Linked DNA regions of Sus scrofa. The protein of the gene in region 2 interacts with the protein of the main gene of each other region in a pairwise test. Links are inferred from orthologs where the notes say so. Each region holds a gene or a part of one and is shown on either strand. Other genes may lie near its edges. The genes, in order: RPP14 and RPP30.

The links.
Region 1: the proteins of RPP30 (region 2) and RPP14 interact in binary tests that used the Homo sapiens proteins (3 or more experiments, as listed by UniProt). The link is inferred for Sus scrofa from reciprocal best matches to the Homo sapiens genes RPP30 and RPP14.

Annotation. Positions count from the first base shown.
Region 1 is NC_010455.5:40,060,731-40,065,056, forward strand, and holds the start of RPP14 (ribonuclease P protein subunit p14), read left to right. Parts: upstream 1-1,447; 5' UTR 1,448-1,716; intron 1,717-1,727; exon of another isoform or gene 1,728-1,908; intron 1,909-4,326. UniProt on the Homo sapiens protein: Component of ribonuclease P, a ribonucleoprotein complex that generates mature tRNA molecules by cleaving their 5'-ends.
Region 2 is NC_010456.5:102,589,633-102,593,448, reverse strand, and holds part of RPP30 (ribonuclease P protein subunit p30), read right to left. Parts: intron 3,785-3,816; coding exon 3,755-3,784; intron 3,351-3,754; coding exon 3,313-3,350; intron 2,925-3,312; coding exon 2,845-2,924; intron 1-2,844. UniProt on the Homo sapiens protein: Component of ribonuclease P, a ribonucleoprotein complex that generates mature tRNA molecules by cleaving their 5'-ends. Also a component of the MRP ribonuclease complex, which cleaves pre-rRNA sequences.

The DNA.
Region 1 (4,326 bases), on a different chromosome or scaffold from region 2:
CTTTACATGAGCAAATGTATCCATATTTCTGATGTATACAATGTGCATATCCACAGCAAATGGGACAGAAGCTACAAAATGTTTCACCTAGGTTCAGATTAAGCATTGCACCTAATGAAGAAAGATTTAGTCTTCAGATTTTTCTTCGATTTTAGAATTGCAGATAAGGGACAGTGAGTCTGCATTTTCTTTTTTTTTTTTTTTTTTTTGTCTTTTTGTCTTTTGTTGTTGTTGTTGTTGCTATTTCTTGGGCCGCTCCTGCGGCATATGGAGGTTCCCAGGCTAGGGGTTGAATCGGAGCTGTAGCCACCGGCCTACGCCAGAGCCACAGCAAGGCGGGATCCGAGCCGTGTCTGCAACCTACACCACAGCTCACGGCAACGCCGGATCCTTAACCCACTGAGCAAGGGCAGGGACCGAACCCGCAACCTCATCGTTCCTAGTAGGATTCGTTAACCACTGCGCCACGACGGGAACTCCTGAGTCTGCATTTTCTACCTCCTCTCTCCAACCTTGGCAGATGGGGGTGGGAGGTGACATCTTAAGGAAGTCTATTCTTCCATGTGAAAGGAGAGGCATGCAGAAGGGTATGGTCCAAGACTCCCTCTTGGGAGCCTAAATTTTACTTACTATCAGTATTATAAAAATGATGCCCTATCACTTTAAAAGAAATCAAACAAAAACGAATGCTGAAACAATGTGAGGATCTCTTACACCCTCCACACAGCCCAATCCTTCCTCCATCAGTCCCCTTGGGACCCATCTAGACATTATACTTATGTGTCTATGTATGTATGTGCATACCTAGACACAGACACATGTCTAACTGGAGGAGGCTGTTACCACCGAACCTAAGTTCGACTGCTTGCCGCTTGAAAGGCTAATAGTGCCTGGCATACGTAAGCATTTGATTAATATTAGCTATTAATACTACTATTATTATTAATCCACACTGTATGGGGTTTTGTTTATTTCATGAATACAAGTGCCCTATCTTTTGTTTCCAACATCTAGCACATAATACGGGCTCAGTAAGTACTTATTTAATAAACGAATAAATGAAACTATTGTCTTAGATTTGGAAATAGGGCTATCTGGGACTTTTCATGTCAATCCAGACAGAAAAACTATGTGCTATGAGCCAAAAGAGACACTGAGAACGGGTCTTGCCCTTGGGGAATACTTTACATAGGAGATGCTCAGCAGAAGAAATGCTAGATACAATTTTTCTGAACGAATGAATACCTGAGTAAATGAATGACTAAGAAAAAAGCTCTCAGTCTGAATACGCCCTCAGTCACACACGGCTTGCCGCACCAGAGGCTGAGTGGGCACGAGAGGGCGCTAAGCCTGGCGAGCTTCAGATCCCGAGTCACGCCCGGGTCCTTCGGGAAAACGCCGCGCTGTGACGTCATATCCGCCCGAGCCGTCACGCATCCGGGGTCGGGGCAGACAGAAGCCAAACGTAAAGACCCCGGAGTTTTCTAGTTCGTGCTTAGGCTCCAGCCTTTGCCGAGAGGTTCCAAGCCTTGAGGGATTCTTGCAGTGAATAGGAGTCAGGCTAATCTCTCGGAGAGCAGGTAGACGGAAGTACGTAGTAGCGTGGCTGTTTTCCGGCAGTGGACTTAGTTGGCCGCGCTAGTGACGCGTGGATGCGCGCGCCAGGAAGGCACGCGCAAGGCGGGAGCGACGGCAGGCAGCGCGGAGACGCCTGAGGTACCTATACAGCTCAGGTCGCTCAGCGCCCCAGGCCGAAGGCGAGGCGGTGCTGAGAATCTCCTTGGGCTTTTGTACAACGTGGTCTTTTTTGCAGAGGGCGGCGGGAGGACTGAACGGGACCACATGTGCAGGGGGCATGCACTCGGCCCCAGGTGGGCGCCCAGTCGACGCCGACGGTCATCGAAAAAAGTTAGCCTGCTTTACTTATTGTTTAAAACAGTTCAGGTGTCGAGTTCCACTGTTGTGGCAGCGTGGAAACGAATCCGACTAGTAACCATTATGTTGCTGGTTCGGTCCCTGGCCTCGCTCAGTGAGTGGGTTAAGGATACTGCGTTCCTGTGGCTGTGGTGTAAGGCTGGCAGCCCTAGCTTCCATTCGATCCCTAACCTGGAACCTCCATATGCTTTAGGTGCAACTCTAAAAAGCAAAATAAAACAAAACACCAGCCTAAGTGGCTGATAGCTTAACAATTTAATCTCCAAACAGTAGAGGACCGAGCTTTTTAAAATTTTTATATCGTTTATGTCCTGTAATTACATACTGAGTGCCTACTGTATGTGATGCACTGTTTTAGCCTCCTGGGAAACAGCAGAAAACAAGGGAAAGATGCCTGTTTCTCTTTGGATTGTACATTCTGGTAAGGCCGGGGTGGGAGGGGGGAGGAGCAGGGCGGAGTGCAGACGAGAATTAAAGAATTTCAGAGTTTCCTGGTGGCTCAGCGGGTTAAGGATCTGGTGTTGTCACTGCTATGGGGTGGTTCGACCCCAGAACTAACCCCTCGCCGCCAACGCACCCCACCCCTCCAAAAAATAAGTGGATTTCATAGTTATGTTCTGTATACCTACAGAGTGGTGTATGCTCTGAGGAAAAAATAGAGCAGTGGCGTGGGGGGGTGACATTAGATAGAAATGCCACTGGAACACATTGAGGGGTGAAATTGAGTAAAGCTATGGAGGAGGCAAGGGAATGAACCATGTGGCTGTCTGGAGGAAGAGTATTTTCAGCGAATGGAAAAGCTGGGAGGGAAAGAGCTAGGAGGCCTGTGTGGTAGAAGAGACTGAGCAGAGGAGAGTGGTAGGACAGGAGGTCAGAGGGATGGGAGGAAGCAATGGTACAGATCAGGTTGGACCTTAGATGTAAAGACTTTGGCTTTACTCAAGGCTTCAAGCCTTGAGGAAAGGGGCTTATTAAGGTTTTAATAGGGTCACCCGGTTAGATTAGGGAGGGAAGCAGGGACATCTACTGCTAATAGATAAGGTAATGAGCATCCTTGCAGCCATCAAAAAGGCCGGCTTCAGAGATGATGATAATGACAGCCACTTAGAAGTGTTCACATTTTCCCAGTGAGCCTGGTGAATGAATATACTGGGCTGTAGGGAGGGCTTCCCAGGCATCATCTCCTTTAGTTTCAGGACAACCTGCAGAGGGCGGTGCTGTCACTCTGAGACCCAGGCCTGTCAGAGGTGACTGCTCAATAAACACTTGCTCCTACAGTTTTTTTTTTAATATAAAATAAACATAATGAAAAATTTACTATTTCTAAATATACACTTCATTGGCAAGAAGTATAGTCACATAGTTGTACAACTATAACCACTATCCATTTCCAGAATACTCCTTAAGTCTTCTTTGTTATTGGCATCCTAAGCCCCAGGCCCAATCTCACTCTACCTCAGGCAGCCACCTCCACTAAGGCAATCAGTAATGTTTAATAAACACCTATTGTGTGCCAGGCAATGAATGAAATGATTGAGGATACTGTCCTCCCTGCCCTTCCAGTCAGGGGAGATTGTAGTGATTGAGAAGGGAGCACCGTGAACTACTGCAGTCCTGAAACAAGAGTTCCCACTGTGGCAAAGTAGGTCAAGGATCCAGCATTGCTGTAGCTGCATCTCAGATTTGATCCCTGGCCCAGGAACTACATGTGCTGTGGGCGCGATGGAAAAAGAAAAGAGAAATGAGACACCCTTGAATGCTACCACCATTTAATCAGTCATGTATTCAATAAGTGTTTGTTGAATACTCTGTGCCAGACTCAGGAAATACTCATATTTGTTGAATAGGTGGTTGGATGTAGTGGCTTTGACCTTGACTTCTCATTTTCTCTTGAGGTTGTCTTCTGGGAGTGGTTGGAACTGGGACCGGAGAGGTTTTTGTGAATGCTGGTCTACAGCTATGTGACCTTGGAAAAGTTCCTTTCCTTGGATAGGCTTCAATTTCCTGTCCCTTTAGTTGGGGGAACCACATATTAAACAAAGACAATGTTAAGAGATGACATACCAAGGGAGCCTAACTTACAGCAAGGTGTCAGAGAAGGGCTCTCCGAAGAAGTGATGTTCCTAGAAGAGGTGAACTTTAAGCTGGAATTTGAAGGATGAGTAGGAGCTATCCAGAGTGGAGTGAGGTGGGTGAGGAACCCAGGATAGGGGTTCTCTTCAGGGGGAACAGCATGTACTGAGCTCTTCCAAGTTCCAGATCTATTGGGAATGGCTTGAGTGCCCATTCCAGGAATTCCTTTAAGACCTTTGCTGTTTAATCTGTCTTCACAAGGCTGACAGATAGCCCTATGCAGGCCTGGCCTCTGGACTGAGAGAATAGGCAGATCCA
Region 2 (3,816 bases):
TAAACATTGGAATTCCTGTCGTGGTTCAGTGGAAATGGATCTGACTAGCATCCATGGAGGACGCAGGTTCAATCTCTGGCCTCACTCAATGGGTGAGTTGGCATGAGCTGTGGTGTAGGTTGCAGACACAGCTCAGATCCTATGTGGCTATGGCTGTGGCTTAGGCCATAAGTTACAGCTCCGATTCTATCCCTAGCCTGGGAACCTCCATGTGCTGCAGGTGTGGCCCTAAAAAGACAAAAAAATAAAAATAAAAAATAAAGAGTTAAACATTACCTTCTCAGTTAATAGAATCAATTTACCAAGTCTACTAAATCTTTGCCAGTTATTTAAGAGCATCTTAATTTATAAAAGGGACAAAACCGCTGTCAAGGTCATTAAAATGCCAACATATTCAGAGAACCTCAAAATAAAGAGAAATTGCCAATGATTTCCATTTCGCCAAATAAAAAATGTTGCATTTAGAGAAGTTTATTTATATCACTATGATTATGAGTAAAAGTCCAAAAATCAGTAGAATGAATAAATTGCGAAAGCCAACACTCAGTAATAAAACAAAATGCATTAGTTTCAAAATTATTTTAGTTCCATCTCAGAAATGTTCTCTTTTTTAATCACATGAACATTTCCTTCTTAATCTAAGCTGACAGATTATAAACCACTGAAAACCCCGAGTTTTATAGCTATCAGATAAGGTAATTTTTGGACCTTGAACCTCTTTGCTGTCCTTTCCTCATGACCTCCTTAGAATCGCTGTTCAGTGGTTTCTAGAACCCCCAGGACCACTTATTTGTGATTCCCTGTAGCAAGCTCCCAATGTGGAACTGCTGCTACTGTGTGCCCCATCTTCTGTTTTCCAGGAATCTATTCCTGCACTGCTTTCAACAACTGCTCTCAGGGTGAGGTTTCCAGACCCTCTGAGAATCTATTAACCACCTTCTGGTAGTGCTTCACTGCAGCGCTGTCCTTAAATGGGGCACTCAGGATGATACAGAGACCAGCTAGGACTTAGCAGTGCAGACAAAAATAATGAGACCCTGAATTCTCTTGCCTCAGAATCTTGCATTTCCTCTCATGCAACCTTAGGAGGAATTAGCAGTCCTGGGAACCCACCACACTACTATGTGACACTGATCCCAGTGTCAACTAAAACCAGGGTATCATTACCCTGCAGATGTGTTATGAATTCAGCAAGGACAGCAGGCATAAGCTAATAAGTAGCATTGTCCTGGGCACACGAGGGTGAATGTTTTTGTTTTGTTTTGTTTTGTTTTTTGACCAGGCAGGACGGCCGAGTGCCTTTTATTTCTGTGCGGGACATGGGAGGGCGGAGGGCAGGGACCGCGCTGAGCTGTGCCAGTGGGCTGCACCCACCAAGGAGCAGCTGTGCCTTCACCCTGAGGCTGGGGGGCATTCCGAGCCAGGACGCCTGCCGTCCCTCTCCAGAGGCTCTGCCACCTCGGCTGTGAACCAGGCCCTAGGCCTCCCCGTCACCACCCGCGGGCTCCCTGGAGGTGGAGGCAGGAAGGAGAGCAGGGCCGGGGCTAGACCTAAAGCCCACAAGACTTCTTTTAGTTTGGCTTCTATAATAGCCTAGTTTTACGCAGATTTCTTATGTTAAACAGCTGAGTTGTCTGAAGTCGAGAGCAGAACTTCATATTTTCCCCTACTGCATTTTTAAAATTAGTTTCCCTTTCTTGACTTGGTCTGTTTTGGAACACTAATTGTTATCCAAAATCTTGATGACTCCTTACACGCACTTAAAATAGACAAAAATAATGGCAGAACTACCAGTGTGAACCAACTGTTCCCTAATTTCAAGAAAATCTTGATAAAATTCTAGTTAATTTGGTCATTTCCAGAATGTATGTAATGGGTTAAGGCAACAATCTCAAACTAAAACTGTTGAATACAAAAGCAAAATCATCTATTTTACGGTTAAGTCAATACAGTAACCAGTTCTCCCAAGTGGAAATCAGATCATTGAAATCCAACACACAAGCCCTCAATCTAACTATTCATACTTAGTCTAGACGTAGCAACCAGTTCTGAAATTTAAAGTTCACCTGGGTGGTACCAAGTAGACTGCTTCCTGACCACTGCTAAAATTACAAAGAGAATGAAGATAAAACAGCAGATGAGAAGTATACGCTTTTTTCTTTTAATAAAACCTCATCTTCATTCTCCAAAGTCCTGGCATATCAAAAACTTCTAGTTCAATTTTTATCATCTGATGAATAAGAAATTCAGTGCTTTCAAGCAGTGGAATTCAAGGTGAGGAGGTAGATACATGGTAAATGAAATGTGAGTAAAAAATGTATCATCTGTGCATTCCTGAACATGTATAAACAAAAAATAAGAAAAGAATCACAAGTTGTAATAAATGTGAAAACTTAGGCTTTGAGTTTGTTAGCTGGATTTTTAAAAATGTACTTGGTGTTTCTGCGTTCCTCATAAATGGCTTAACAAGTATTTTTAACTTTCCTGTTCTCTAAACAGTGATCTTCAGCAGGGAAAGATGTCCCTCTGGAGGAGAAAGGGCGATTAGAAGCCCATGAAAATGCAGGTGGGGAAATGCACACGCAGATCCTGAAAGAAGGCAGCCACATCCAATACCCTTCTCTGCAAGGCGAACTATATTCGTTCCACAAACTACAGAAAATAAAGCCTGAAGTAAAGGGTGAGAAAGCATTGATGGGTATGCTTAATCAGGTTGAGAAAAGATGACCCTGAAGGAACTCTGTGGGGGCAAGATGATAAAAGTAGATATGGCCCGGCAGTTTGATAGAAACAACTGGCTCTAAACATGAGCACGAGGCGTTTTTCTTGGAAGAACTTGCTCACCTCCATGGAGAAGCACTGCTCGGCAGTTGGTAGACACTGCGGCCTTGGCATCGCTTTCAGACAGCCCGAACAGCAACCCTCTGGTGAGGTTGTTAAGGATTTCAACCCAGAGTCAGCCGAGGACACGAGACTAACAGAAACATAACTGAAAATGCCAACTTGCCTGGTCACACCAAGAGAGAGACACTTTAATTCCATGGTTTTAGTCCAAACGGAATATGCATTTGAGACGAGACTCATTTAACTCTAAGCTTTTATAGAGTCCTTTCTTCCTTTTTTCTTATTTCATCCTCAATCTGGAAACAAAAGGATGACACCCTCTACAACTTGATATAACCTGTTTTTGAAGCTATTAACTGACACATTCATATAAAAAAAAGATTAAAAAAAAATTTGTTAAAGAATAACATGCCAAATTCCAAATTTCCTAAAGAAAATTTCAATGACTTCTTACTCAGAAAAGGATACAAGTTTGCCACGTCGTATGGGCCTCTTATTTCTAAAGGCTAAAATAAAATGAACAAAAAATAGATATGAGGGAAGTTATTCATAACATTTCAATGATATCATTTTCAGTAAATAGGATGCTTAAGTATCTAAAAATAAGGATGTCAACTGCATAAATTTAAGTCCTTATAATTCTGATGGGTTTCTTAAGCCTTTGAAAATATAAAAGATCTTTGAAAAGCATTTTGCCACAATTATAAAGGAAAAACTATTTATATAAACAAAACGTGCAGCCCCAAAGGAATGGGGATAAATTTTACTCTTCAGCAATTACAATGAATACATGCAGTTAAAAATGAAAACATCCAATAAATGTTCATTACATTACTATTTTTCTTTCCTAGAAACCTTTTAAAGTTTTATAACTGAAAGGTGAAAACAAAGTACTTAATGTCAGACTTACCCTTTCTGCAGCACTAGATACAATTACATTCTACAAAATAGAAAGTAATCAATGTTAATCTC